5 linked regions of the Macaca mulatta genome follow. The protein of the gene in region 4 interacts with the protein of the main gene of each other region in a pairwise test. Links are inferred from orthologs where the notes say so. Each region holds a gene or a part of one and is shown on either strand. Other genes may lie near its edges.

Region 1 (5,624 bases), on a different chromosome or scaffold from region 4:
AAAAAATTAGCCAGGCGTGGTAGCAGGCACCTGTAGTCCCAGCTACTCGGGAGGCTGAGGCAGAAGAATGGTGTGAACCTGGGAGGTGGAGCTTGCAGTGAGCTAAGATTACGTCACTGCACTCCAGCCTGGGCAACAGAGTGAGACTGCATCTCAAAAAAAAAAAAGAAAAAAAGAAAGTTACTCTACTGGGAAAAAACCAAACCAAACACCGTGGGGGAGCGCAAAGACCTTCTCCCGAGTTAAGGCTACAAGCAGCAGATAAAGACTGAACATACAAGTCTTCCATTCTCTGATTCTAAGGCATCACAAAAAAAAAAAAAAAAAAGTGCCATAAGAAAGGGATCAGCCAGGCACGGTGGCTCACGCCTGTAATCTCGGCATTTTGGGAGGCTGACGCAGGCGGATCACCTGAGGTCAAGAGTTCGAGACTAGCCTAGCCAACACGGTGAAACCCCGTCTCTACTAAAAATACAAAAATTAGCTGGGCATGGTGGCATGCAACTGTAATCCTAGCTACTCGGGAGGTCAAGGCATCAGAATTGCTTGAACCCAGGAGGCGGTGGAGGTTGCAGTGAGCTGAGATGGCACCACTGCACTCCAGCCTGGGTGAAAGAGTGAGACTCTGTCTCAAAAAAAAAAAAAAAGAGAAAGGGATCTGTAAAAAAATAAGAAAGGGATCTGGATGGGCATAACTATGAGACAACGCCCCCAAGACAGAGTTCTAGAATTAAGTACAAATACTTAAGCTTTAAACACCATACATACCACTGGTCATATGAGATACTTTTGCAAGTTTCTTCATCACATTGTCCAGCCGGGACTGAGTGCTCTCCAATTCGTGAGAGAAATCTTCCAACATACTAGAGAGAAGCAGACACAGAAGGTCGCTGGTAAGCACGAAGCCTTGGCAGTGCACGTGCGCTGGGTTAACAGGACTAGGCCTCCATTTTAGCAAACAAAATAGGCAACGGTGGGTTTCAGGACCTCACTCTATTATCCAAAATCCTTGGGACAAGATAGGATTTTGATTTTGGAATTCTCGGGATTTAAAAAAAGCCTAAATTACATATGCTTTGCATTAGTCAATACCGCCAGGAGGGTCTGGGGCAGTCCCCGTAATCAGATACTTAATATTTCTGCAGAAAAAACTATGAGGAGTCAGAGTTGGAGTCAGTTCAGGTGAGGTTCTTCTGTAACATGAGCTTGCTGTAAATTTAAAGAGAAAAAAAAAAAAAACGAAAGGAGATTTTAGAGCTTTCTAGATTTCAGAACTGCAGACAAGGCAGTGTGGACCTGTCTATACAATAACACAAACTCAGTGGCAGCGCAATGTGGTAGAAACAATGCTATCTGAGGCAGACAGCCAGGCTTTGCCACTTGTTTACACCGCTACCTTGGACAACGTACCCTACAGCTCTTTGGGACTGTTTCCTCACCTGTAAAACAGGGCAATCCTATCAGCCCAACTTCCCTCACACGACTCTTGTGAGAAGCAGGTAATACACAAAAGCACTTTATGTCAATATGAGTTAAGGAATGTACTTTGATAAAATAATCTCCTGTAAAGCACTATGTGCTTTATTATAAACCCAGAAGACCACGGCACTAACATCCCTGATGGGGTGTGTGAGTGTGTGTGTGTGCACGCACATGCACATCTCCCCATCTGTCCTCACAGAGAAACCAGTATTTCCCAGTAGGAAAACTGACTCCAGCAGGCTTACACTATTTGCTGTCCAATGCGCAGCTGGGAAAGAAAACCCCAAAATACGATTTCAGCAGTGCCTATTTCATAAGTCACTAAATATTCCAGACTTTGCAACTTTTGATTAGTAAATGATTATTCTGAGGCTAGAATGTAATATACCAATTAGTACTAACAGTCTTACTAAAAAGGCTATATTAACTCTGACAGCATCAATGGCAGTTAGAAACTGCTGGTCTTGATCTGTGCCCAACTAGACATCTGACAGTCTTGCAGGATTCAGGGCAACCAACTCTTTATTAAATCAACTATTACATGAACTCCATATTGACAACTAAAACAAGTCTTTGTCCCTTACCTAAATTTTCAAATTAAAACATATTTAGCTCATTTTAGATCCTGGCAGCATCTTGGTGCTGCAGTTGGCAGGCCTATCCAGACAGGGTCAAACTCTGAAAAGCAAGAACTACCTTTCTGCGCTGGGTGTGACTTTTCATACTGAAGACAAAACAGGCACATCACCCCACCTTCAGTCCATGGACACTCACCAACCAAGCTGCTGGCCCAAATCTATCTCAGTACCATCCAACAAAAATATGAATCACATATGCCATTTTACATTTTCTAGTAGCCACATTTTTAAAAATTTCAAAAGAAACAGGTGAAATTAATTCTGTTGTATTTAGCCTAATACAGTCAAAATACTATCATTTCAACATGTAATATAAAAATTATTAATAAGCTATTTTATATTTTTCCATACTAAGTCTTCAAAATCCAGTAAGCATTTTATCTCTGGAGCACATCTCAATTCAGACTGGCCACATAAAACTTACTTAACAGCTAGCCACATGTGGCTAGTAGCTATTATACTAGATAGCACAGGTCTAAGTCCAAATCCCACGCTTTTTCCCAGTTATCTGTTATTTCTACCTTTTTAGAGACAGGGTCTCCTCTATCACCCAGGTTGGAGTACAACCTGGAGGTGCCATCATAGCTCACTGCAGCCTCAAACACCTGGGCTCAAGCAATTCTCCCACCTCAGCCTCCTTCCCTAGTACTTGGGACTACAGGTGTGAACCACCATGCCCTTAAAACAAACCCCTTTACTACTTTTCTAGTGAGCTGTGGATAGGGAGTGGAGGTAGGGGTGTGTCAATTCACCATCTTTAACCGGAAGTCCCGCAGACTCTATTACCCACTGCCCCGCCAGGCTGCTTCATCAACAGAGAAGCTCAGGCCATTAGTCCCTTCCCCTCCTCAAACTGAACTTTAGGGTCAGGACCCATTTTAGATAGACATGAAACAGATTCTGGCTACTCCAGCTTCCTGCCTGGTCTCCCTACCTGGCTCCACTGCAGCACATCATCTAAATCACACCTGATCACACCATCACTCCTAACCTCACCTCCACTGGTCTCTCATCATGCTCAGAATAAGTAGTGGTACCTCCTGACCATGCTGACAAGACCTTCCCTGGTTTGTTCTCTGCCTCCAGACACATGGAACCTCCCTGTTCCATGCATGTGTGCACCTCTCCATCTTCACAGGCGCACTTTCTTCCTCCTTGTCTACGCTCCCCACACCACCTGCCTCCACACCAACGCTCACCTCGCCTGGCTAACATCCACACATCCTTCAGACTTCAGTTAAACCCCTCTTCCTCAGAAACCTTGGGCTAAGTCAGGGCTCTCCAGGCAGCATGCACTGTCCCCATCACAGGGGCCCTCCCACGTCACTGCCATCATCTAATGACCCCTCACCACTCACACAATGTCTGTTCTACCCAGCAAGTGGCAAACTCTTTGGCAGAGATGGGCTGTCTTGTCTGCTCTGTTCCCTTCTACATCCCTTGGCTTCCAGAAGGCCTGGTGTAGAACAGGGGCCCATTAAGAATTTATAATGAATCAATGTGTCATGATAAACGTAATATCAAGACAGGAGAGTTTCTGAAATATCCTAGCGGACTGTTTTATTATTTTTCTCTTTAAAAAGACTTGTAAAATGATAAAGGTATCCTGTGGCAGCATTTAAGAATGCAGTTTTTGCCATCAAACTTCTGAGCGCAAAAGGGACTGTTCATAAGGAAAAACAAACTGAGGTTATGTTTTGTTTTTATTTTTTTGAGAGGAAAGAGTTTTTGTTAACTGGTGTTAAATCTGTAAGTTTTAAAAACAACAACAACAACAAAAACCAAAGTTACAATAATTTAAGATGCAAAGCAGAGTGTTTGCTCAATGTAGCGGGAGAGTCATAGGATGATAAAGTCAGCTCAAAAATCCCCACAGGTTACAGAGGCTTCTCTGCTTCACATTCCCATTCATAACTGTACTTCGAGTATCTGCTCAGAGAAATCTGTGTCTGTTTTTGGAGGTGTTTAAAAATAACAACAACTTTGCCTAAAGCCTGTAGTAAAATTTACAGAGCAGATTTGCTTCTTTTGGGGAGGCTAGTCTGCAAAACAGAATAAAAATGCAGCTACGAATAAAACAGCTTTTGATCTTACCAGCCACGTAGCTGCCAGGCTTTTTAGGGGTCTCGTAGGATGGCTTTGCCCCTGAATTTCACTGCAGCGAGAGGGGTGTCTCAATACTCACACTGCCTGTTCCTCCAGCTCCCCTCCGATGCGCTGGGACATGTTCTTCAGCACCCCGATGCTGCCAGAGACCAGCTCCAACTGCTCATCCTGCTGTTCCACGATCAACTGGTGCCAGAGAAATGGGAAATAAGCAATTAAAATCCATCTTACCTGGTTCCAAGCCCAGCAATCTAGCAGCTGCTAGTTTCTTTGCCAACTTGGGACAATTCACATTCAGAAGCAAAGCCCAGAAATCAAAGGACCAGACCGTTGCCTCTGAGAACACACTGCTCAAAAGGCTGGATTGTCAAGCTACTGATATCTCCTGCTGATCCAACTTGTGAACAGTCAGCGGGGCTTGAAACCACCAAGAGAGATTTACTCTGGTTGGCTGACGTCCAATAATGGAGCAGACAATGGCTGAAAGCACACGTGCAGATGACCACTGAGACGTGGGGATGTTTGGGAGGAGGAAGCCCATTGCCAAGATCAAGGTCTCAATCCACAACAGACTGCCACAGCTTAAATACAAGAGAGTCTGGCAAATCTCTGGATGTGGGGAACTATGCACACAGTCTCTCCTCCCTCTTCAAGGACAAACTAAAGGACGCCCTGTGGCAATAAGTTACCTCAAGGACAACTTCTGACTGACAAATATTTACTTTTAGTTGTGTTGCATTCTCCTCACTTTCTACAGAAAAAAATTTTCCTGTGTTTAATAGCAATTTAAGTAAACAACTGGTTAAGCAGACATACTAATGTAAAGAACAAAAGAACATATAAACTACATGTATACATAAAACACAATATTTAAGAATCAATAGTTTCAATGGGTATATGCTCATCAAATCCCCACATTATCACTAACTTCCTTTTATTAATATAGCTACATATCAAAGGCAACACCAGACATAATCAACTTCATTTTCCTCCTACCCCTTAATCTACACAAAAGCAGTCAACTTTACATATAACAAAACCAACCAAGAGGCCAGGCGCAGTAGCTCACACCTGTAATTCTAGCACTTTGGGAGGCTGAGGCAGGTGAATTGCCTGAGTTCAAGAGTTCGAGACCAGCCTGGGCAACAAGGTGAAACCCCATCTCTACTAAAATAGAAAAAAAAAAAATTAGCCGGGCGTGGCGGTGTGTGCCTGTAGTCCCAGCTACTCAGGAGGCTGAGGCAGGAGAACTGTCTGAACTCGGGAGGCAGAGTTTGCAGTGAGCTAAGATGGTGCCACTGTACTCCAGCCTGGCGACAGAGCAAGACTCTGTCTCAAAAAAAAAAAAAAAAAAGGAAACAATAATTTTCAATGAAAAAAATGAGATATCTTTCTGAA
Region 2 (6,240 bases), about 51 Mb from region 4:
AAGATCACGTTCTAGCCTGGGGGAGAACGCCAGGAAAAGTAAACAAGACCCCCTGCTTTGCGAGGTGATGAGTGCTGGGGAGATAGGAACAGAGTGGGGACCATGTTTCTAATCTGATTCTCCTACCGACAACCAGCTCAGTTGTTATTTACAAATAACTGTCCCCTAAAGGGGCGAGGGGGGAGGCTTGGCCGTGCTGCTGGGGTCAGAGCTCGCGGGGGGATCTGCCGCGGGTGAGGACAGAACTCTCCCTTATTGGGCAAATATTTCCTGGGGCACCGCGCTAAGCACACAGGCTCCCCGAATTTCCCTCCCCAGGGCCTCTGTCTTTGGATGGCCTGTCAGCGCGCCCCTGCAGCCCCCAACCCGGCCCGCGAGGCGACCCGGTCCCCTGTCGCCCGAATCTTCCACCGCAGCGAAGCGTCCCCGGGCGAGTGCCCTGCTCTCCGCGCAGAGCGGAAGCTGGCGGGTTCTCACAGTGAACTCGCCCAGCCCCGCTCGCGGCTCTCTCGATTTTATGTGGGTTTCGTTGTATGCATTTTGTTATTTGCCTCAATGGATATGTTTGACATTAATTTTTAGTTCCACAACGAACGCGCGGGAACGTTCTCCGTGAGAGAAAAAGCACGGCGGGGGGCGGTTACCGGCGTTTTCCCCGGTCGTCTGGGGGTCCCGCACGCGCCCCGCGGGTGCCGCTGTCCGGCCGGGGTCCCTGGGTGAGCCGCGGGCACCGGCTTCGCGTCTCCCCGGGCGCGACTCCGCTTTGCAAGCGCTCAGCACACGGGAAACCCTCGGAAAACACACGTGTGTAAAGTTTGTTCCACGCAGAAACAAAGGACGCGTGGGGGCCGCTTCTGGGGCCTAGGTGTTTTGTTGGAACCCCACTCCGGAGTCCGGCCCGCACCCTCGCCCGGCAAGGGGAAGCCGGCCCTAGACAGACCGGGGGCCCGGAAGGCGCAGCAGCACAGCTCTGCGCCCTCGACCCGCTCCCGCCGAGCGCTGGGCCAGGCCCTTGGCCTCAGGCTTCCCGGGCGGCTCCGGGCCAGACCAGAGCCTCCGTCACTGGGCGCCCGCCTGTTTCTGGGCGCCGTGCTCGGGCCCGGGCAGCTGCTGCCCGACGCGGCCCCGAGGAGCCCCTGCACGAACCCCGCCGACTTGGCCCGGGACGGCAAGCCGGGGTGCTTAGGGCGCCCCGGGCCTGGCCAACGGCGAGAAACCGGGCCCGGGACGCCAGGGGCGCGGGGTGCTCCGGGCCAGGGCCCAGGCGGGGAACAGAGATATTTTTCGCGGGGACGGGGGCAGGAGGTGTCAAAGTTTTCGGGGAACTTTTCCACTTGAGATTCCACGACCCTGTAGTGCCACCTACAGAAAGCGGCAGCTGGGGAGGGCGGGCGCCCCCAACGACCCCCGACTGCCGGCGGCTGCGCGGCCAGACTGCCTGGAGCTTTCGCTTTTTTTTTTTTTTTTTTTTTTTTCCTTTTTTTTCCTCCTGGTTGTTTGTCGGGTACATCTTTTTTCAGAGTGGGAAAAAAAAAAAAAAAAAAAAAAAAAAAAAAAAAGCGAGCGCCAGCGCCTGCAGTAGAGCGTGCTCGGCCTGCAGAGGCAGTCGTCTCCAACTTTTCCTCTCCCGCTCCAACTCCCCGCGCCCAAAACTTCGGCTCTCGGGGAGCCCAAATTTGCCTGCCGCGCAACTTCCACTCTAATGCAGGGACCAAGGGCCCTGGCAGCGGTTTGCAGCCTGGGGGTCACGCTCCCCAGGCTCGGGCCTGCTCGCTGGCCTGCTCCTAGTGCCTAGACCCAGTTGGGGAAGGCGAAACGGGGCGCCCCAGGAGCACCCCGGGAGAGGGCGGAGCACTCTCGTGCCCCGGGGCAGGAGTGCAGGGAGCTCCCGCGCCCGGAACGTTGCAAGCAAGGCTTGCGAGAGTCGCAGGGGGGCACTCGCGAGGGACGGACAGGAAGAGGGCCAGGGGGGACGCCAGAACCCGGGACCACAGTACGGAAACGGCCCGGGGCTGAGCTGCAGTCAGATCCGGGGATGGAGGGAGCCGGAGAAGAGGAGTGAGAAGGCCGGGGAGGCAGGCCCTGCTGTCCTCCTGCAGGCCAGCAGCCTGCTGGCAGTGGAGGACCAGGCCACCCAGGAAAGGAAGGGGTCAGGAGGTCGGGCAGGGCCTCAGCAGGCTCAGACAAGGCCCCAGAAGGGAGCTGCAGGCGCCCTGGAGTCCAGGCCTCAGGCCTGGCTCCGGTTGTCCAAAGAGGGCCTAGGCCAGGCCTCTGGTGGGGAAACTGAGTCACAGCCAGACCTCAGGGCACGGCCTAGACGCTTACGAGCCAAGTTAGGGGTAGAGAGCAAAGACCTTTGGGGGTCTCAGGGAGTAGGGGGCTTCAGGGCCTCCCAGTCCAGAGCTGGATTGGCGAGTTAGACGCTTGTAGATCCAAGGTTGGATTGGGGTGGGGTCTCTGGAACGTTGGATCGCTACGCAAGGATTGGGGGGATTCAAGTGCTTAGAGATCGAAGTCGGTCCTGGGTAGGGGGAGTCAGACAATTGGAAAGCCTAGGTAGTTATTTGGGGAGGGGTCTCTACGCTTTGGCGAAGGGCACAGCTGCGTCTTTTTGGCTTGAAGCCTGAGGCCTTGTCGAGAAGCTTCTGTGAAAGGGTGGGCCGGCCGGGTCAAGAGAAAGAAAGTGAATAAACCAGGAATATAAGTGGGCGGGGGGCCCCTGAGAGGGGGGTCACAAAGGGTGAGACATGGCCACCAGGCGTTTAACCGACGCTTTCTTGTTGTTGCGGAATAATTCCATCCAAAACCGGCAGCTGTTAGCCGAGCAAGTGAGTAGTCACACCACCTCCAGCCCTCTGCATTCACGTAGCATTGCTGCGGTGAGTCTCCCGGCGGCCTCTCCGACACACGGACCGTGTGCACTGCGGCTCTGCCTGTTTGTCTGTCTCTGTCTGTCTCTCTGTTTAATAAAAGAAGATAAGAATAATAAGACTAAGGATAATAAGATCTCTTGGCTAGAATCAGGGGGCATCTGTAACCCTGGATGGGGAAAAAGCGGTGCTGTGAGGCCGCAGCTCCACCTCTGCCTTGTCTTCTCCTCACTTCCGCAGCACCCCCCCCGCGCATCCCCCGCCTTGGCGTCACTGCGCTACAGGCCGCCTGTAATTTACATATGTTTTAACGCTAACATTGGGAAGCATTGGGCCTTTCTGAAGCCTTTTTGTTTCGTTTTGTTTGAAGCTCCCCTCCCCCCAATAGTGAGCCTCAGTTCGGTCCTAATGGCTGGGTCGCGGGACCATGGACCCAAATCCTTGCAAATGAACGACTCCCTCTCCTAAAGAGGAAGCAGTTGTGTTGTTGTTTTGTTTTGTTTTGTTTTTCTGCCCGTTTTAACGGTCCCGCAGCCCTTGTGTGGCCTTGTTCCCTATGAATAATTGTTTCACTGTTCTTCCTGGGGGCTTGGGTTTCTAAGACTCGAGGTGCTAGCCTCTTCACTTTCCATTTCCCAGACGGGAAATTACGCTTTCCTCTCCATTCGAACTTTTTAAAAAAGCCTGAGGAGGTATATGTGAAAATTAACCCTCTAAAATAACATTTTTTTTTTTTTTTTTAAATTAGCCAGAACCTTTAGTTAGCCTAGCAGTAGTGTTTTTTAAGGGTGGTCCTGGAAAAATTACTGTTTCTGGTTTGTTTTTAATGGGGGCTACTTTTCCCTTTCTGAGCCTCAGTTTACTGCTCTGTTAAATAAGGGGCGAGTCTAGATGATCTATACCAGACAGTGATCGTTAGCTCGGTAATGTCTTCAATTGAAAAGTGAAGTTATGAAATTGGCTGTAGTTCAGGCTACCTGCTGTAGGGAGGCTAGGTTGGAATAGAAGCAGCGTTGGAACAGGCGGGTTATAGCCATCCCAGGACCACATTCTTGGGGATTATACTTGATAGGCAATTTTGGAAACCCCGCATTTATTTCACCTCCTAGGGACTGTATTGCCAGTTCATTTTTTTCTTTGTGACTTTATCTAAATGTTTCAGAAAAATTTTGCCATATGTCATGATTATCATGTCTACAAAGACAGTTTCTCCTTTTTGTAAGTCACAAGTGGAGAATGTCTTTGGCCATATAACTGATAGAAAAGTGATTTTAAGCCATATGAGCGGTTTCAGGAATAAAAGCATGTAAACTCAGGTCAAAAAGCCTAGAAACAGGGACAGAGTGTGTGTGAGATTTCAGTTAAGAAGTTGAAGGGTTTTACATTTATAAACTGAAAGGAATGACATTATATTGAAATAAATATAAAGATGTCTGGTAGCATAGAAACGGGCTAATTCTAGCGCTAATTTTGAAGAAAAAAATAAGCCAAGAAATTGAGTAGCAATTGGATGAATACAATTCCTTAATGGTACTTCAGTAATGTTAAATAAGAACTACATGTTCCTTAAATGACTTGATTTTTGTGCTGCCTCAAAAACAACTGAAACTGATATTAAGATTTCTAAGGTATCAGTTTTAATTGATTGAAAAACATATTGTTTATTTTTCAATTTTTAATCATTAAGGTTCAAAATACCCTGAACCTTTGGGTAACATGAGGGTTTTTTTTTTCCCCCATTTAGTCAGATGGTTTAAAAACTTAGTATCTGAGACAGGAAGCTTTTTAAAAGTCCTTCTCTGAATCAAACCACTTTAGAAAATTATTTTCTAAGTTAGGCAATTTAAAAAAAATATTTAAGCTAAGCAAAAGAACTAAAAATGGATAGCTAAAGTATACAGTTTGGAAAAATAGATACGTCAGGATATATACAGATATATTTACCTAACTCACAGTTTTTTGAAAATGATTTCTAAACCCAACTAAAAATATATTTCTAAGTCAGAACATTAAAAAGTGTTTTCTAAATGTCATGCCATTGAAAATGTTAATATTTGTATTAGTCTGACCATTTAAAATCTTTCTCAGATCATTGAAAGCAGCCATATCATTTAAAATATCCTTATAGTCAATTCATACTGTTTAAAAAATAGGTTTTGCATTCTAACAAACATAGTTTTCCTGAATTAAAATTTTAAAAGAAAACACAGATTTATATATTTTAGTTGTGTTTAAAAAAATGGCATGTCATAAATTTCTGAAGTATTTAGGGTTGAAGTGTTACGTCTTCACTTTGCTTACAGGTGATCTTACAAAATCTATTTCTGCACACAATACGGCGAAATGCTAACAAGACCACATAGAGGTTATGATTTTTTTCAGCTTATCTGGAAGTTGGAAAAGCTTTATAAACGTTTTGAAGCAAAAGCCACGTCTAACACAATTTGTAAAAACTGTATTGAGTAACTCTTAGCAATGCTTTTCACTGCATATCTAGCTCATAAAAAATTTAAAGCCTTGTTTCTGATTTGTAAATTTCAAAGCCATGTAGCAAACCAAACAATACCATATCTGTCAAATTTTGAATATGGACTAGGTATTAGGTGACATTAAAGAATTAATTAAATTAATTATAATACACTACATTTGCTAATTTTACTAGAGATGCCTACTAAAATGTTTAGTGGTGAAATGTCAAGGTGTCTTACCTAAATCCTTAAACCCCTCCAAAAACAGAGGAAGCAAATAAGGCAAATTGTTACTCATTGTTGAGTCTAGTGATGAGTATGTGGGGGACATTTTACGTAATTTTGTAGGCTTTTCTACATGTTTGAAAATTTTTAAATAGAAACTTAAAATAAGTATATTCGTTATAGTAAAGTAGAACAGTTAAAAAGAGACAATTTGTAAATATATATCTAACACTCAGGCAATTTGAAAGGAAGAAACTAAACCTGAGTTTAACTTAATTTAAAAAATAATAACCTGGAATTTTTTAAGTTTCTAATTAGAAGAAAAAGCTGTAGACTTTGATCTTGATGCATTTGATACCAACTAAAAATACACCTAAAATAACAGACTTAAAAAAAAAAATTATAACCCTGAATTTTGACATCTTTATTTCAGGAAAAAGCTGCAGAAATTAATTGCAGAGTAGTATATCTCTTACACCTCAAAGCAAAGCACACCTTTAGCCATGTCATGGCTTTAGCCATGTCATTCAAAAGATTTAAACATGCATTTTTTGCATCCTAGTTTGAGGGGAAAAACTAGAATTTGGTTGTTGTAGTGGGGTTATTGTGTGTACCTGTGCGTGCATACAGGGTTTTGCAGCATTCAGGCAAATACGTCAAATAAACAGGAATTTAAG
Region 3 (6,062 bases), on a different chromosome or scaffold from region 4:
AGCCAGAGGGGAGGCTCGACAGTTTTCCAGCCCCTTCCACATCCTTCTTAACCTCACTAGATACTGTCCAAGTCCTACCTTAGGCAAGGCAGAAATTATAGGACCAAGCCGTCAAATGGGGAAATTGAGTCCCAGAGAGGAATAATGCATTATTTAAGATCCCATGCAGGACTATGAGTCAGGGGTCCAAGAGCCCTTCCACCTTGTGCCACTCAGAGACACAGAGTAGGAGGGGGAAGGGGGTCGGGTGGTAGGGGACAAAAGATGCGGGAGGCAAGCAGCAGTGACTGAAGAGGCAGAGGCTGCCATGGAAGACCCGGGAGCAGGGAATCTTTCCTCACCGTCTCCAGGGGAGGCTTCCTGAAAAACCCTGCATTCCCTCTGTGGGTTGATCAGGGAACCACTCTCCTACTAGCTGGGTTTTGTGTTTTGTTTTGTTTTGTTTTTTTGAGATGGAGTCTTACTCTGTCGCCTAGGCTGGAGTGCAATGGCGTGATCTCAGCTCACTGCAACCTCCGCCTCCCGGGTTCAAGCAATCCTCCTGTCTGAACCTCCCAAGTAGCTGAGATTACAGGCACCTGCCATCATGCCTGGCTAATTTTTGTACGTTTGTAGAGATGGGGTTTCGCCATGTTGGCCAGGCTGGTCTCCAACTCCTGGCCTCAGGTGATCTGCCTGCCTCTGCCTCCCAAAGTGCTGGGATTGCAGGCATAGGCCACCGCACCCTGCTAGAGCTGGGTTTTAACAGGAAGAGAAGAGCCAAAAATCCTCACATAGAATCAGACAGCACTTGACAGTTTCCAACCTCATCATCACTGAAGTTTAGAGCAGCCCATACCCATAAAGATGATCTCCCCATCCCCCCAAGTTACCCACTGTGCAGAGGGAGATCGACACTTAAGAGACAGGAAGCAACTTCCAGAAGTCCATAGCAACCCAGTCCCAGGAATCTAGGTTTCCTGACCAGGGCATAGCAGAAAGGGTCCATTCCTTTCCTTGCTTGTACCTTCACAGAAGCTTCCTGGACAGAGCCCTGGGGTCCAGGAGACCCGTTATTCATTCCCAGCTATGCTGAGACTTACTAAATGACCTTGGGGACTCCTTCTAGAGAATTTAAGTTCCACGAGTGCAGGAATTTTTATCTATTAGTCCTTGATGTATCTCCAGCCCTAGAACAGTGTTTGGCCCATAGTATGTGCCCAAAAATATCCATTAAATGAATGTTCTGTGCATGGTGGTGCATGCCTGTAATCCCAGCAGTTTGGGAGGCTGAGGCAGGAGGATTGCTTGAGCCCAGGAGTTAGAGACCAGCTTGGACAACATAGTGAGACCCCATCTTGTAAAAATTTTTAAAAATAAAAAATGAGTGAATATCTCGATAGCCAGGATTAGAGAAGTGTCACAGTCAGAAAGACTGAAGCCTAAAGAAGGCCAAGGAACCAGGGTCTTCATCCTCAGATACATGAAAGGCTAAGATTCTGTCCACAAGTATTTATAGAGGGCCCGTAATGTGCTTGGTACTGAGCTAGGAACTCCCCAGATTCAGTTAAGAACAAAGTCATTACCTGCCTCAGATGCAAGGCAGGGTCTGGGGGGTGTGAGTGGCAGGGAAGGCAGCGTGCAGAGACACTTTTCTTAGCCTGAGCTGCCCTGACATGGTCTGACAGCCCACAAGGTGGTGAGTGAAGCCGGGCTGTAGTGTTCAAGGAGGGCGCCGGCTGGCTGCCCACCTGTCAGAGGCTGCGCCAGGAGGATGCGGAAGAAGAGGTTTCTGCCTTGGCTGAGGTCAATTTCCACCCCTAGATTCCCTGCCCACACAACCCTGCAATTTTCTGACGCTGACGACTCGGATCCTATTATTTCCCGATTTTCAAGGTCCCATGATGCTGACAGCCCCAAATGCTAAGTCGTCAGTCCGCCCACGCCCCTGGACCCGAAAGCAATAAAGGCGAAGTCAGCAAGGGTCCTACCACCCACTGCCTCGAAAGGCCTCTGGGAGTGGTGGGCGCGCCCCTCCCCACCTCGCGGGGGCCGTGTGGGCGTCGTTCGGTGGTCGGAGTGCCGGGGACGTCGTGATGAAAACAGCGTCCCAGAGACGGCGCTGACCGAGCCGGGACACGTGACAGTCACAGCGTCACATTCTGCGGTCCACGAGTTTGGGACCGGGTTGGTCACGTGACGCGGTGGGGGCACCATGGGGTGATGTGAGATGCGGGTGCCTCAGATTACGTACAAATGACGTATTCCTACCCCTTTTGGCAACCAGATTTCCGTTGGAAGATGCAACGGTTCCGGTGACGGTAGCCAGTTCTCGCGTCCACGCAGCTCCGCTTCCGCTCGGGGCGCAACAACTTCCGACTCCACCTTCCGCGCCTCGGGCGAGGAAGAGACGCGACCATATGCGCATGCCCCGAATTTATCACGGAGGGGCGGGGCTGAGGCTGCGGGAGCTGGAGGGGGGAAGAAAAGGGAATTCCAACCTGTGGAACCTTGGGGGGTCCCCGGGGTCGGCGCCTTCCCATTGACTGTGGGCGGTGCAAGGGACGGAGGCTCTGGTGGCTCGTGGGGGTGTTGGGGTCCACAGGGGGAGGGAGGGGAGTGTCAGAGTGTGAGTGGGGTACGGGTATTCCAAGTTTGCCGGCCTCCCGGTCTGACGCCGGGGAGGGAGAGCTCAGGCCGCCATGCGGGACAGGACCCACGAGCTGAGGCAGGTGAGACGCCAGGGCAGCGGGGATGGGGGCGCGCGGACGAACTGGAACGCAGGACTCCTGGTCTTCGGGGTAGGGAGGGGTGGCTGATGGCCAGGAAGGAAAGTCCCGGAAGCCTGTGGGTCCTGCGGGGTGACAGCCGCAGCGAAACAGTGGTGCCAATGACTCCGGGCCTGGCAGGGGGATGACAGCTCGGACGAAGAGGACAAGGAGCGAGTCGCGCTGGTGGTGCACCCGGGCACGGCACGGCTGGGGAGCCCGGACGAGGAGTTCTTCCAGAAGGTAAGGGGATGGAGTCTTGGCCTGGATTCGCGAGGGGGTAGGAGGACCCGAGGAGCAGCGTGGTCTGGAGTACCCCATATCTCTTTCAGCCCTCTCGGTCACCCTCCCCAGGTCCGGACAATTCGGCAGACTATTGTCAAGCTGGGGAATAAAGTCCAGGAGTTGGAGAAACAGCAGGTCACCATCCTGGCCACGCCCCTTCCTGAGGAGAGTGAGTGAAACCCCGGCTGCATAGCGCATGCTCCGCCCCAGGGATTGTGGGGGTTGTAGTTCCACGCAGGTGGTGGCCAGGGTGGTTTGTTGAGGTGGGGGCTGCTGTTTGGGAGTCGTGGCCTTCTCTTATTCAGGCATGAAGCAGGAGCTGCAGAACCTGCGCGACGAGATCAAACAGCTGGGGAGGGAGATCCGCCTGCAGCTGAAGGGTGAGCTACTGGGACCTCAGGCAGATCCTTCCCTCTGATCCTGCCCTGTTGTTGGTATATCTGGGGAGTGTGTGGCCCAGAGAAGCCAGTGATATATCCAGGTCACACAGCAGGCCTGGTTCTAGCATCTCTGTCTTCTGGCCTCCAGGCCATTGTACTCTCCACAGCACAAGGCAGTCTCTCAGGTTCTTTTATTTACAATGAAACCATTTACTTACACAGTTATCACTGCCCACTGGGCATTCTTTGGGCAGGGAGATGGGGTTTTGTTAGGTGGCCTCTGCATTCCTACGGGAACTCAAGTGATGTAATGCAAAGAAAAATAAACTTACTTTCTCCTCTTGGAGGCTCAGCCTTAGTCATTTTATGATAAATTATATTTCCCTAAAAATCCTATGGAGACAAGTACCCCCAATACCCCTGTGTCTTCCCACAGCCATAGAGCCCCAGAAGGAGGAAGCTGATGAGAACTATAACTCCATCAACACAAGAATGAGAAAAACCCAGGTGGGTTTTTTTTCTCAGAAATGACATTTCAGCAAATGTTTCATGAAGTATTAGATGACAGATGTATGAAGGAAGGGCCTGTAGATGTCATGGAGTCCAATTGGATGATTTTTCCAAGTGGGGAACCTGAGCTCAGAGAGAGAAAGAACTTGCTCAAGGTCAGGAAACCAGGTCTCCTGATGCTCAGTCCGGTTATAACACCCTGCTTTATTTTCTTCCATTCAATAAGAAGTTACTTATTGACCCCAGACAAGACCTAGGCTTGACTGTGGGACACGTTTTCTTTTCTTTTTGCCTCAGCCTCCTGAATAGCTGGGATTACAGGCGGACACCACCATGCCGAGTTAATTTTTGTATTTTTAGTAGAGACGGGGTTTCCCCATGTTGGCCAGGCTGGTCTCGAACTCCTGACCTCAGGTGACCCTCCTGCCTTGGCCTCCCAAAGTGCTGGAATTACAGGCGTGAGCCACTGCGCCCAGCTGGGACACGTGTTTTCTAGGAGTCAACATGAGGAGTTAGGGTTCAATAGGGGATAAAGACATTACTCACGTGGGATCTGGTGGCTAATGGCGCTGCCCAGGGAAGGAGAGTGAGAAGTCACAAATTGACTGGCAGGTTTGCTATCTGTGTGACAGGGACATCCTTAGTCCCACAGGTGGAATTCAAGAAGTCAGGAAGTGGAACTTCCCTGGGGCGACACTGAAGAGGAACTCCCCTGGTGTAATATCTTTTTTTTAAAAATTATTATTATTTTTTTGAGATGGAGTCTCTCTCTGTCGCCCAGGCTGGAGTACAGTGGCACAGTCTTGGCTGACTGCAACCTCCACCTCCTTCAAGCGATAATCCTCCCTCAGCCTCACAAGTAGCTGGGATTACAGGTGTACACCACCACACCTGGCTAGTTTTTTATATTTTTGGTAGAAATGAGGTTTCACCATGTTGGCCAGGCTGGTCTTGAACTCCTGACCTCAAGTCCTCAAGTGATCCACCTGCTTTGGCCTCCCAAAGTGCTATGATTACAGGCATGAGCCACCGTGCACGGCCCCTGGGGTGATATCTTAGTAAGGAGATTTGCAGTGATCTGACTGGCCCTCTTTGTGTCCCCAGTGAGGAGGATACCAAGAGGTCAGGGTTGGAGTAGTTGAGCCCAGGGCTCAGCAAAGACCCCAGATTGAAGATGAAACAGCTTGGGCATCTTGGAAGGGTGCAGCTGGAACCAGGAGAGCAGATGTATCTCTGGAAAAGGAACTCCAAGGAATGAGCATATTTAAGGTCTCAGGAGAAGGGGCAAGGCAGAGCAGATGCCCCAGAGCCAGTGTTTCTGGGGAAGCCTCTGGTGGTGATTGGCATGAGTGGTCGAGGGCCCATGTGGGCCTGTTGCACCTGTTTCGCCCAGGCAGCATGTTCATCTCTAGGCATAGGAACTGTGGTGTAGGCAGCAAGGTTGGCATTCAGCAAGCATTCAGCAGTTACATATTGGGTGCCTACTGTGTGCCAGACCTTTTTGGAACTGTTTAGGGTACAGCAGTGAATCAATGATCCCTATCCTCATGGAACTTCCCTTCTGGTGTAGACAATCACCATAATAAATAAGTGAATTATTTAGAACATAATAAGCATTAAGGAAAAAAGAGCAGCGGAAGAGGGACTGAGCATGCTGGAGGAGGGTAGCGTTGCAGTTGAAAGCAAGTGGAGGAAGCTTCATTCAGAAGGTGACATCTGAACAAAAGACTTAAAGGTGTTTGCGGGGAATGGGCATTCTAGGTAGAATGAGAAGTGAATGCAAAGGTTTAAGCTGAGAGTGTGCTTTGTCTAGGGAGGGCTGTAAGGAGACCAATGTGGATGGGCAGAGGGAGGGAACAGTAAGAGGAAGCAAGATCAGAGAGGGCTGGCCGTGCACCTTGGCTCACACCTGTGATCCCAGCACTTTGGAGGCTGAGGTGGGAGGATTGGTTGAGCCCAGGCGTTTGAGACCAGCCTGGGCAACATTGCGAGACCCCATCTCTCTCTGTTTTTTTTTTTTTGAGACAAGGTCTCACTCTGTCACCCAGGCTGGAGTGCAGTGGTGCCATCTCTGCTCACTGCAGCCTCCGCCTCCTGAGTTCAAGCCATTCTCCTGCTTCAGCCTCCCAAGTAGCTGGGA
Region 4 (5,370 bases):
CTACTATATGGTATTGGGTTAAAATAATGTATTTCATAGCTAAACTAACATAAGATCAATAATTATTTTCTAAAGGACAACAGATGAGGATGACTTTGCCTGATATAAAAGGGTAAACCTTTTAAATTTAGTTCTGCGTTCTGTGCCTAGGTTGGGGCAAACACCATGGATAATCCTTTGTTGAAGTACAGTGCAAAGGATTACTTCTTCAAAGCTGCCCTCTGCCACTTCATAGTAGACGAGTTGAATGCCAAGGTAAGGAGTCCTTCAGCACTGATTGACTGATTTCATCCTTAAGAACACGTACACATTCTCTCTTGTTCTTGGAGTCGTTTCATTGCGATGTTAGTACCAAGAATAAACTGGGTACATTAAAAATAATAGGTATTTTTCTGTGGTATGTGTCCCAGTTGTAATCTTTTAACAGCTGTCAAAGCTGTTCTCAAAAGTTCCCTGATAGTTTATAGCCATACCACCCTGAACACACCCAATCTCGTCTGATCTCGGAAGCTAAGCAGTGTAGAGCCTGGTACTTGAATGGGGGGCACTGCCTGGGAATACTTAGTGCTATAGGCTTAAATATATGTCTATATTCACTGGTAGCCACAGTTTTGTTTTTGTTTTTGTTTTTTAGTAGTTTTGCTTTAAAGAAATTACAGGGCCGGGCGTGGTGACTCACGTCTGTAAACCCTGCATTTTGGGAGGCCAAGTGGGGTGGATCACCTGAGGTCAGGAGTTCGAGACCAGTCTGGCCAACATGGTGAAACCCTGTTTCTACTAAAAATACAAAAATAATTAGCCAGGTGTGGTGGCAGGTGTCTCTAAGAGCTACTTGAGAGGCTGAGGCAGGAGAATCACTTGAACCTGGGAGGCAGAGGTTGCAGTGAGCTGAGATCGCGCCTCTGCACTCTAGCCTAGGTGACAGAGTAAGACTCTGTCTAAAAAAAAAAAAAAGAAATAAGGAACTAAGGGGGAGGAGGAGACGATAAGAGTAGGATAATATCCATTTAAAAAACAACCAAAAAAACAGGCAAGCTCAGAAACGGTGTTGGAGTGAGGACTGGGAAGCAATTGGAAAGCACAGTGAGCACTGGGAGCCAAGAGGCAAAAAGGCAGGCAGCCTTGACGTGGCCGGTGTCTGGAGTGGAAAGAGCAGAATTAAAGCCACTAAGAGAATGTTCTTTCTGTCAGCTTTGAGCAGGAAGCTAAATGTAATTTATTTGGAATCTGTACTGTATTAAGAGCTTCTCCATTTAATGGATGGCACAGATACCTGGTCTGTGAGTGTTTACGAATTCATTTTCATTTACACTGTCTTCTCGGCAGCAGCATGACTCAGAAAAAAATGGTTTAGAAATTATTCTTAATTGAAATGGAAAATTCAGAATAGACAGATTGTCTATGTTGATTCTGCTGTTGAGTTTAACTGCATACTTCTTCAACACTTAATAGGATATAGGTAGATCTTATTTGAAGCTGGTAAAATGTCGAAAGCTTTGTTTAGTAAGTCTGAAATTGATGAGTGGTTTTTCTCTCTCAGCTTGCTCTTGAGAAATATGAGGAAATGTTTCCAGCGTTTACTGATTCAAGAGAATGTAAATTATTGAAAGTAAGTAATACTAGAACTTTGAAGAAAAATGCTTTTGTTCTGTCAGGTGACAACACCTAAGTGGGGTTGGGTATGAAGTGAAGTTTTAATCTATAAAGTCTGCTAACTGAGGGGCCCTGGTACTTTCCTGCTTTAGCATTATAGGTGTTCAAATGCAATTAAGGTCAGAAACATGTAGTTGTATTCTGAAATAGGCACCTCAGAAATGTTAGTACAAAAACTAGATCCCTAACTTGAATCTTGACTTGTATTTGAGTATTTCCGCAATTGTGTGCAATATTTGGCAACATTGGTGTTATACTTAAAGTATATATTTAGAAATGGGACTTCATCTTACGGAACTATTTTTTAAAATATTTTTGTGCTACCAGAAACTCCTAGAAGCTCATGAAGAACAAAACAGTGAAGCTTACACTGAAGCAGTAAGTTATGCTTTTGGGACATGTTACATTATTTGAAGATTTAAGTTAAACTTCTTTTCCTTTTCATTATGTAAAATCTAAACATTTATTTGAACATGACTCCAGCATACCTTGAGTTGTATTTTCCAAAGGTCATCTTTTATATATCACACAAATTAAACAGTTCTATTAGCCATGCTGAGATTTGACTTATATTCAAAAGTAATTTAGCTGTAAGACTAGTTCAGGAGCAAATATTCCATTTATATTCTTATAATTTGCTCTTTTAATTTTTTCTTTTGAAAATAATCTGACCCATAAATAAGTGTAAAGTAAAATTAGTTAAGGCCAGGCACAGCATCTCAGACCTGTAATCCTAGCACTTTGGGATGCCAAGGCAGGCAGATCATGAGTCAGGAAATCGAGACCATCCTGGCCAGCATGGTGAAACCCCATCTCTGCCAAAAATACAAAAATTAGCCGGGCGTGCTGGCACATGCCTGTAGTCCCAGCTACTCAGGAGGCTGAGGCAGAAGAATCACTTGAACCTGGGAGGCGGAGGTTGCAGTGAGCTGAGATTGCGCCACTGCACTCCAGCCTGGTGACAGAGTGAGACTCTGTCTCAAAAAAAAAAAAAAAAAAAAAAAAAAAAAAAAAAAAATTTACATTAAATATAATTTAAAATATTAAAACTAAGTAGTGAGAATTTGCTGTATTCGTGGCATGAAAAAAATGGAAGGTGGCCAGGCATGGTGGCTCACGTCTATAATCCTAGCACTTTGGGAGGCCGAGGCGGGTGGATCACCTGAGCTCAGGAGTTTGAGACCAGCCTGGCCAACATGGTGAAACTCCATCTCTATTAAAAATACAAAAATTAGCTAGGCATGGTGGAGTGTGCCTGTAATCCCAGCTACTTAGGAGGCTGAGGCAGGAGCCTCAGAACCTAGTGGGCAGAGGTTGCGGTGAGTCAAGATCACGCCGTTGCATTCCAACCTGGGCAACAAGAGTGAAACTCCATCTCAAAAATAAATAAATAAGTAAAAAATAAAAAAATATATATTTTTAAAATGAGGGTTTTTTCCTTTATAATTTTTGTTTTTCCATCTTTTGCCATGTCATGTTTAGAATTAAGCAAAAAAAAATTTTTTTAATATATTTTGAAACAGAGCCTCACTCTGTCACTCAGGCTGGAGTGCAGTGATGTGATCATGGCTCACTGCAGCCTCAACCTCCTGAGTTCAGGTGATCCTCCCACCTCAGACTCCTGAGTAGCTGGGACTATAGGTACACACCACCACACCCACCTAATTTGTGTGTGTGTGTGTGTGTGTGTGTTTGAGACAAGTTTTCACCATGTTGCCTAGGCTGGTCTCTTAACTCCTGGGCGTAAGCTATCCACATGCCTTGGCCTCCCAAAGTTGAAGGATCACACCCAACCTCAAGCAAATTTCTCAGTAGCCTCCTGTAACATGTTCATCACAACTCAGGAGTGATGGTGGAAAGGAATGTTTTCCTGTTGAACTTTTGCCTGCCACATCATTTTCATCCTATTGTAATTTTTTTCTTTGATAATGCATTGAAATGTGTTAAAGGAATTCCGCTTCCATACATATTCTAACTCTGCAATTAATGTTTTCCCATGTTCAGTGAGTAATTTTCCATATTACTTTCACATTTTTATGCAATGTCCAGTTTCTTTTGCCACAATAATTATGACTGTTAATGAATTTTCTTTTTACACATGTTTGAAAACAGAGAAATGTCAAGCCCAGGAACTAGTCACTAGTATCATCAAAATAGTAACAGGATAATGAAACAATAAACAGTTTTTTAGTGAAGAAAGTTATAAACCGGAATTATTAATTTCAAATAACAAAGAAAGTTAGTAGATTATAGCTGTAAATGTATAAACAGCTTGGGGTACTATTATTTTGTGTTTTTAACGTATTTACATGGGGTAATTCCTGCTCCTCTTTCTTTATACTAGGTGAAGGAATTTGACTCAATATCTCGTTTGGATCAGTGGCTGACCACCATGTTACTTCGCATCAAAAAGTCCATCCAAGGGGATGGAGAAGGAGATGGAGACCTAAAATGAAATGTTTTTGTCTTTGTGGCATGCAGCTAACTCCTGTTTAGTTTTGTCTTAGGGTCAAGTGATCTTTATGGGATGCCCATTTAATGGCTTAATTTTGTTGCATATGAGCCAGACAGCCTGGGTATTGTTTAAGCTCCCCGAGTCTGTGTTGCTGTGAAATGGATGAAGGGGAGGCTCCTGTTCATCTTGTGGTAATGATGGGTTGTTTCATGCTTATCAGAACCCCCAGCGTTTTCTGAGAAGTACTTCAGAATCTCATTCCTCATATTTCATTGGTATTTGTGGAGCCTATGTTTAATGTTGCCATGTGTTTTTATGTCCTTTTTGTTAGACTTGAGTACTCAGCCCAGTTGTTCTCATAGATGCTTTGCATTTTCTCTGTGCTTTGGCATCTGGATATGTTCTTTAAATGTGTGTTTAGTTTAGGACAGTTACTAGGAATGAGTTTATAACTTTATTAGAAATCACTTCTATTTTTGTTATCCTGTGATTATTTTGATGGTGCTAGTGACTAGTTTCTTTGCTTTTTGTGTTGTTCCGTGTGCTAACATGTGCATGGCAAAAATTTAGAATAGCCAGGGTCTGTAGGCATCACATTGTGAGGAAAGGAGCTTTCTGGAAGTACTTGCTTCATGTATGGATGAGTGTCAAAGTGAATTTGATTTGTACTTAGACACACACACACACACACACACACACACACACACACCACAAGATCTATTAGAAATGGAATTTTTCTCTTTTTCTGGAGATAGTTTTCACTTCTAGTTGGAGTGGAAATCCCTTTATATTTGCATTAAAGTATTTTAATTGGCACAGCCTGCTCGTTATTTTCATGTTTATACACTTTCCCACATTGAGGTGGTGTGTTCTGTGCTATGGCTATAGAAATCTTGGTCAGGGCTGGATAGATTATCTAAGTCAAGCTTGAGAATGAATGTATGTAATTTTCCTGTTTATTGCACATGATGGGTTAGGTGGGGTAAATGTGGTACAGGTATGTACTGTATGCCCAAGTGGGCAAGAACCCCAACTTGTTTCTCAGGGGACTTGATTGTTCTCTTAGCTGGTGGAATATTTTGGCTTATGTGTTTGAACTCTGTCATGTTTAATTGGTTTATATATGTATGCTATCTTGATTCATGAACTTGATTCTATTATTTTATATGCTGATATTTAGACATACTCTTGTCTCCTGAATGTCCTCTGCATATTTTATAGTTAAATGATTTATATTTGAAATGTGTTTGTTGCCATACTTA
Region 5 (6,284 bases), on a different chromosome or scaffold from region 4:
ACTCCCTGTGCCGTAATTTCCTCACCTGCGAAATGGAAATATTAGTAGAAGCTCCAGTCTCAGGGTTTTGTTGCAGATTAAATGTTGAAATGGAAAGTGATTGGAACAGGAAACAATGAATGGTTGGTTATTGGCCAGCCAGTTATCACGGATGCTTCCCCCCTTCTCTAGGGCGTCTACTGGGCTGTCTGAAGGGGCTGGCAGGCAGTGTCCGTGGGTTGCAGTGCCACCCTTCAAAGCCTCTACTAGCTTCCTGTGGCTTGGACAGAGTCTTGAGGATACACAGGATCCAGAATCCACGGGGTCTGGAGCATAAGGTAAGTCGTCTCTCCCACCCCAAACTCATGGTCTTGTGGAGGCTCCGCCTCCTTTGTCCCCTTTCATGTTTCTGTCTCAGCATGCCTAGCTCCTTAAGGTCCTTCATCTTTTGCAGGTTTATCTCAAGTCTCAATTGAACTGCCTCCTCCTGTCAGGCAGGGACAACTGGGAGGTGAGCAGTTGGGTCTGGGAATGTGGGAGCTAAGGGCATAGATGTGAGGATCTCCCTATGAAGAGGAAAAGGAGGCAGCTGGAATGCAGACCTGGGACTATCTGTTTACCTGCCTGGTCACTTAATTTCTCTGAGAGGCATTAACAGTTAAAATCCTGAGGGTTATTGCCAAGAGCATGGATGGGGTTGCTTTCTGGGAGCAGGGAATAAAGGTGGTGATACCCAGAGGGATTATTTCTCAGCCAGGGTCTCCTTCCCTGTGGGTTTGTCCCTGTGCCCCTGACTACTTTTTCTTTTTTTTTTAACTTCTTTTTGTGGAGATGGGGTCTCCTATGTTGCCCAGTCTGGTCGCTAAGTCCTGGGCTCAAGCAATCCTCCTGCCTTGGTCTCCCAAAGTGCTGAGATTACAGGTGGGAGCTACCATGCCCAGTCCCCCTGACTCCTACACTTTCTTCCCACTCACCAGGATGAGCCCCAAGAGCCTCAAGAACCCAACAAGGTGCCCCTAGAAGACACAGAGACAGACGAACTTTGGGCATCCTTGGAGGCAGCTGCCAAGCGGAAGCTCTCGGATTTGGAGCAGACCCAAGGAGCTCTCCAAACCAGACGGAGAAAGAAGAAGCGGCCTGGGTCCACCAGCCCCTGACGCCCCTGACGCCCCTGTGCCTGCCCACTTTGTAAATAAACAGCTGAACATCCACCATGACCCTGAGCCTTTTGTGATGGGAGAAAGGAATGAGGGGTAGCTTGGGGTGGGGGCTCCCTGAGCTGGGGCGACGGGATATCTGATGTCACAAAAGCCGGGCCTGGAGGCAGGTAGGCTGGCGTGGGTGGCAGGGAGTCCGGGGCCCCGCGGGGCCATGGGCTGCTGCCAAGACAAGGACTTTGAGATGTCGGATGAGCAGTCCAAGGAGGCAGAGTCTGAGGCCGTCAGGGAAGATGGGACCAGAGGCACACACAGAGGGCCCAGGGAGTGTGAGAAGGGGCTTCCCGAGGGTAGGGGTGAGCTCAGAGGCCTCGTCGCCTCAGGCGCCGAAGGTATCGACTTGAACTCCCCGGACCATCGGAATCATAAGTCGAACGAAAGCCTTCTGATCACCGTGCTGTGGCGGCGACTATCCATGTTCAGTCGTCGGGGCTCCTCGCGGTCAAGCAAGAGACAATCAGACCAGATTAGGTCATCAATGTTCAGTGGTCGGGACTCCTTGCCGTCAAGCAAGAGGCAATCAGATCAGACTCGGAAACAGGAGCGTCCGATCCGAGAAGGCAACCAGGAGGAGCCGGAGAAGGGATGACCCCAGACCTGCTCTTAGTCCGCCCCAACCTCCAGAGAATAAAATTTCTAACGTGTACCTGCACCACCACTCTGGGAAACGGGCGCGGACACCGCCGGGCAGCTGGTTCTTTAAGGCTCCTCCCCGGAGGCGGGCCCAGCCCCCTGGGCTCCCGCTGTAGTACTCAGGGGCGGGGTCACGGCAGCGCCTTAGCCAATGGGAGGGGGGTCGCTCTTGCGTTTGGATGTGGGGCGTGTCTTTCGGGTCGCCTGGCTTGAAAATGCGTGGGACCGCCCCCTCGTCACCGGGGGTGGGGTTACGTGTAGGTGACGTGGCCGCTTCCAGTCTGGTCGGGTTTCGGCGGCCTCAGTGCCCAGGGAGGAGGCAGTGACGGCCGGGGAGATTGGTAGTGGCGGCGGCGACAGGCAGCAGAGGGGAGGTAAGACTTGCTCTAAGAGGGGGTCTGGCCACCGTGTCAGCTCTGGGGCAGTGGTTTTACAGGGGCGACGACTGGCAGGGGGAAGGGAACCAGGGGCAAGCAGGCAAGTCCTGCCGGCCCGGCTCCTGGTGAGCGAATTCCTTGCCGTCCAATCAGGAAAGCCTCTGTTGAGAGAGACGTCGGCATTAGCTAATGAGTGGTTGAAGTCTTCCAGAAGGCGGACCTTGGGCGGGGGGTGGGACTTCCTGTTTCAAATAAACACCCAGAGGTTTCCCCCTCCGCCCACCGAAGTGTGTCAGTCTTTGGAGGTCCGTCACCGGCCCCCCCCCGAGGGGCCGAAGGAAACCACGGAAACGAAGGGACTGGGTTAGGGCCCGGGGCAGTTACACGGGCCAGGCCGCAGTCTGAGGGCCACGGGACTTGGCTCTGGCCCTGTCTCTGCTTCAGGGCCCCCGGCCCGCGCTCTGGCCGCCGGAGCCAAGTTGGAAGAAGAGTCTGAAGCGGGTTCGACTTGGGACAGGGGAAAAGCAGAGCCCTTTCCGCTGCTGGCCCGCCCCAGGATCTGCGAGCGTCTTGGGCGCGAAAGTCCATGAGAAGTGCGGAAGGGGCTCGAGGATTTGTTGATTGGGGTGGGGCGGGGGAGTTTGGGGAAAGAAGCTGCCTGGGGAATGACACTCTCCCCTCCACAACAGTCCGAGGTTATGCGTCTCAATGATCCCGCGGAAACGCTACGGGTCTAAGAACACGGATCAGGGTGTCTACCTGGGTCTCTCAAAGACACAGGTCCTGTCCCCTGCACCTGCTGGCAGTAGCAGCAGCGACATCGCCCCTCTGCCCCCCCCAGTGGCCCTCGTCCCTCCCCCTCCCGACACCATGTCCTGCCGGGATCGGACCCAGGAGTTTCTGTCTGCCTGCAAGTCGCTGCAGACCCGTCAGGTAAGGACCTGGAGTGGAAAAGGCGAGGAGTGAGCCATACTCAAATCTAGGAAGGACTGTGCTCCACCACTGTTAACTGAAGTAATTCTTGGGGGTACCTGATGGAACTGATAGGCTTGGATGGGGCCAGTAGGGTCTGCTGTAAGCAACAGAGAAGAGGTCGGCTGGCTAACTAGAGGCAAGGACTTAGACCTTTTTTTAGGAGGAATCCCTTGGAGGGCAGGAGTGCTATTCTGGAGGGAGTACTTCAGAGAGTACTTGGCTGTAATATAATTGGTGTGAATAAGGAACAAGTTCTAGGAAGAGCCTTTAGCTGAGAAACACGCACCTTGAATTTTCCAATATATTTCTACCATAAATTTGCTCTGTAACCATGAGAAAATTAATCTAGTTACATCTTAGTTTTTATCTCTGTAACATTAAGGACATTTTCTAGATCAGTAATTTGTTGTTTTTGTTTTGTTTTGAGATCTGTTTTCAACTCTGTCAACAGGCTGGAGTGTAGTGGCGTGATGATAGCTCACTGCAGTCTTGAACTCTTAGACTCAAGGGATCCTCTTTCCACAGCCACCTGAGCAGCTGGGACTACATGGATGCACCACCCAGCTAATTTTAAAATTTTTTTCGTACAGGCAGTGTCTCACTATGTTGCCCAGGTTGGTCTGGACACAAACACCTGGCCCTAGACCAGTAATTTGTATCAAAATAACTTAGGGTTGGATGTGGTGGCTCGTACCTGTAATTCCAGCACTTTGGGAGGCCTAGGCCACAGGATCGCTTGAGGCCAGGAGTTAGAGACCAGCAGGGGCAATGAAGAAAGACCCTGTCTCTACAAGAAAAGAAAAAAAAAGCTGGACGTGGTAGCATGTGCCTGTAGTCCCACCTACTTAGAAGGCTGAGCGAGGCCCAGTCTCTTTCTCTTTTTTTTTTTTTTTATTTTAAGAAGGAATTTCACTCTTGTCGCCTAGACTGGAGTGCAGTGGTGCAATCTCAGCTCACTGCAACCGTCTCTTCCCGGGTTCAAGCGATTCTCCTGCCTCAGCTTCTGGAGTAGCTGGGATTACAGGTGCCCGTCACCGTGCCCGGCTAATTTTTGTATTTTTTTTTTAGTAGAGATGGGGTTTCACCATGTTGGTGGGGCCGATCTTGAACTCTTGACCTCAGGTGATCTGCCTTCCTCAGCCTCCCAAAGTGCTGGGATTACAGGCATAAGCCACTGCGCCCAGCCTCTCTCTCCTTTTTTGGAAACAGGGTCTCACTCTGTCACCAAAGCTGGAGTGCAGTGGTTCTATCTCGGCTCACTGCAACATCTGCCCTCCTGGGCTCAAGCAGCCCTCCTGCCTCCAGCTTCTCAGTAGCTGAGATTGTAGGCATGTGCTACCATGTCTGCCTAATTTTTGTTTTGTTAGTAGAGACGGGGTTTTACCATGTTGCCCAGACTGGTCTCGAACTTCTGTGCTCAAGTGATCCACCTTCTTCATCTTCTCAAAGTGCTGGGATTACAGGTGTCAGCCACTGCACTCAGCTCCTCTTAAAAAAAAAAAATTGGGAGTGCTTTCTAATTATTTATTTATTTAATTAATTAATTTTTTTTTTTTTTTTTGAGACGGAGTCTCGCTCTGTCGCCCAAGCTGGAGTGCAGTGGCCGGATCTCAGCTCACTGCAAGCTCCGCCGCCCGAGTTTACACCATTCTCCTGCCTCAGCCTCCCGAGTAGCTGGGACTACAGGCGCCTGCCAGCTCGCTCGGCTAGTTTTTTTGTATTTTTTAGTAGAGACGGGGTTTCACCGTGTTAGCCAGGATGGTCTTGATCTCCTGACCTCGTGATCCGCCCGTCTCGGCCTCCCAAAGTGCTGGGATTACAGGCTTGAGCCACCGCGCCCGGCCAATTAATTATTTTTGAGATGGGAGTTTCACTCTTGTCGCCCAGGCTGAAGTGCAATGGCGTGATCTCAGCTCACTGCAACCTCCGCCTCCTGGGTTCAAGTGTTTCTCCTGCCTCAGCCTCCCAAGTAGCTGGGATTACAAACATGTGACACCATGCCCGGCTAATTTTGTATTTTTAGTAGAGACGGGGTTTCTCCATGTTGGTTAGGCTAGTCTCAAATTCTCGACCTCAAGTGATCTGCCCGCCTCAGCCTCCCAAAGTGCTGGGGTTACAAGCACCTGAGTAAGTATTTTTTTGTTTGTTTGTTCATTTGTTTTTGAGACGGAGTCTCGTTTTGTTGCCAGGCTGGAGTGCAGTGACATGATCTGGGTTCACTTCAGCCTCCGCCTCCGCGTTCAAGCGATTCTCCTGCCTCAGCCTCCCGATTAGCTGGGACTACAGGCGTGCGCCACCACACCCAGCTAGTTTTTGTATTTTTAGTAGAGACAGGGTTTCACCATGTTCGCCAGGATGGTCTCCGTCTCTTGATCTTGTGATCTGCTTGCCTCGGCCTCCCAAAATGCTGGGATTACAGGCGTGAGCCACTGCACCCGGCCAAGTAACTGTATTTATTTATTTATTTTGAAACGGAGTCTCGCTCTGTCACCCAGGCTGGAGTGCAGTGGTGGGATCTCAGCTCACTGCAGCCTCCAGGTTGAAGCGATTCTCCTGCCTTTGCCTCCTGAGTAGCTGGCACTACAGGTGCATGCCACCACACCTGCCTAATTTTTTGTATTTTTAGTAGAGACGGAGTTTCACCATGTTAGCCAGGTTGATCTCGATCTCTTGACCTCGTGATCTGCTGCCTCAGCCTCCCAAAGTGCTAGGATTAGAGGCGTGAGCCACCGCGCCTGGCTGAGTAACTGTATTTTTAAATATTTTTACTGATGGGTGGGCATGCTGGCTCACACCTGTAATCCCAGTACTTGGGAGGCTGAGGTGGGAGGATTGTGCGAGCCCAGGAGTTCAAGACCAGCCTGGGCAATATAGCAAGACCCTATCTCTACAAAAGTTAAAAATTAGCTAGGTGCGGTGGCGTGCCCTGTAGTCCCAGCTACTTGGGAGGCTGATGTGGGAGGATCGCTTGAGCCCAGGATGTCGAGGCCGCAGTAAGTTACGATCATGCTACTATATTCCAACCTGGGAGACAGAGTGAGACCCTGTCTCAAAAATAGTAAAGTTATAAAAATGTGTTTTTCAGCTCATGGTAAAGCTGCTT

What was found.
Region 1: the proteins of NAPB (region 4) and STX6 interact in binary tests that used the Homo sapiens proteins (3 or more experiments, as listed by UniProt). The two-hybrid records come from large-scale screens. The link is inferred for Macaca mulatta from reciprocal best matches to the Homo sapiens genes NAPB and STX6.
Region 2: the proteins of NAPB (region 4) and STX16 interact in binary tests that used the Homo sapiens proteins (3 or more experiments, as listed by UniProt). The two-hybrid records come from large-scale screens. The link is inferred for Macaca mulatta from reciprocal best matches to the Homo sapiens genes NAPB and STX16.
Region 3: the proteins of NAPB (region 4) and STX4 interact in binary tests that used the Homo sapiens proteins (3 or more experiments, as listed by UniProt). The two-hybrid records come from large-scale screens. The link is inferred for Macaca mulatta from reciprocal best matches to the Homo sapiens genes NAPB and STX4.
Region 5: the proteins of NAPB (region 4) and STX5 interact in binary tests that used the Homo sapiens proteins (3 or more experiments, as listed by UniProt). The two-hybrid records come from large-scale screens. The link is inferred for Macaca mulatta from reciprocal best matches to the Homo sapiens genes NAPB and STX5.

What each region holds. Positions count from the first base shown.
Region 1 is NC_133406.1:38,395,335-38,400,958, forward strand, and holds part of STX6 (syntaxin-6), read right to left. Parts: intron 4,413-5,624; coding exon 4,306-4,412; intron 864-4,305; coding exon 769-863; intron 1-768. UniProt on the Homo sapiens protein: SNARE promoting movement of transport vesicles to target membranes. Targets endosomes to the trans-Golgi network, and may therefore function in retrograde trafficking.
Region 2 is NC_133415.1:111,442,400-111,448,639, forward strand, and holds the start of STX16 (syntaxin-16), read left to right. Parts: upstream 1-2,010; 5' UTR 2,011-2,747; coding exon 2,748-2,828; coding exon of another isoform or gene 2,829-2,891; exon of another isoform or gene 2,892-2,959; intron 2,960-6,240. UniProt on the Homo sapiens protein: SNARE involved in vesicular transport from the late endosomes to the trans-Golgi network.
Region 3 is NC_133425.1:29,669,427-29,675,488, forward strand, and holds the start of STX4 (syntaxin-4), read left to right. Parts: upstream 1-2,412; 5' UTR 2,413-2,681; coding exon 2,682-2,711; intron 2,712-2,888; coding exon 2,889-2,990; intron 2,991-3,079; coding exon of another isoform or gene 3,080-3,101; coding exon 3,102-3,201; intron 3,202-3,337; coding exon 3,338-3,412; intron 3,413-3,848; coding exon 3,849-3,919; intron 3,920-6,062. Other genes in the region: uncharacterized protein LOC144337996, read right to left, coding at 2,022-2,141, 2,251-2,407. UniProt on the Homo sapiens protein: Plasma membrane t-SNARE that mediates docking of transport vesicles. Necessary for the translocation of SLC2A4 from intracellular vesicles to the plasma membrane.
Region 4 is NC_133415.1:60,651,742-60,657,111, forward strand, and holds part of NAPB (beta-soluble NSF attachment protein), read left to right. Parts: intron 1-150; coding exon 151-255; intron 256-1,540; coding exon 1,541-1,609; intron 1,610-1,980; coding exon 1,981-2,031; intron 2,032-3,997; coding exon 3,998-4,108; 3' UTR 4,109-5,370. UniProt on the Homo sapiens protein: Required for vesicular transport between the endoplasmic reticulum and the Golgi apparatus.
Region 5 is NC_133419.1:11,222,292-11,228,575, forward strand, and holds the start of STX5 (syntaxin-5), read left to right. Parts: upstream 1-2,070; 5' UTR 2,071-2,203; intron 2,204-2,650; exon of another isoform or gene 2,651-2,799; intron 2,800-2,895; 5' UTR 2,896-2,914; coding exon 2,915-3,139; intron 3,140-3,632; exon of another isoform or gene 3,633-3,732; coding exon of another isoform or gene 3,733-3,795; intron 3,796-6,284. Other genes in the region: WDR74 (WD repeat-containing protein 74), read left to right, coding at 172-317, 434-490, 957-1,136; TEX54 (testis-expressed protein 54), read left to right, coding at 1,279-1,785. UniProt on the Homo sapiens protein: Mediates endoplasmic reticulum to Golgi transport.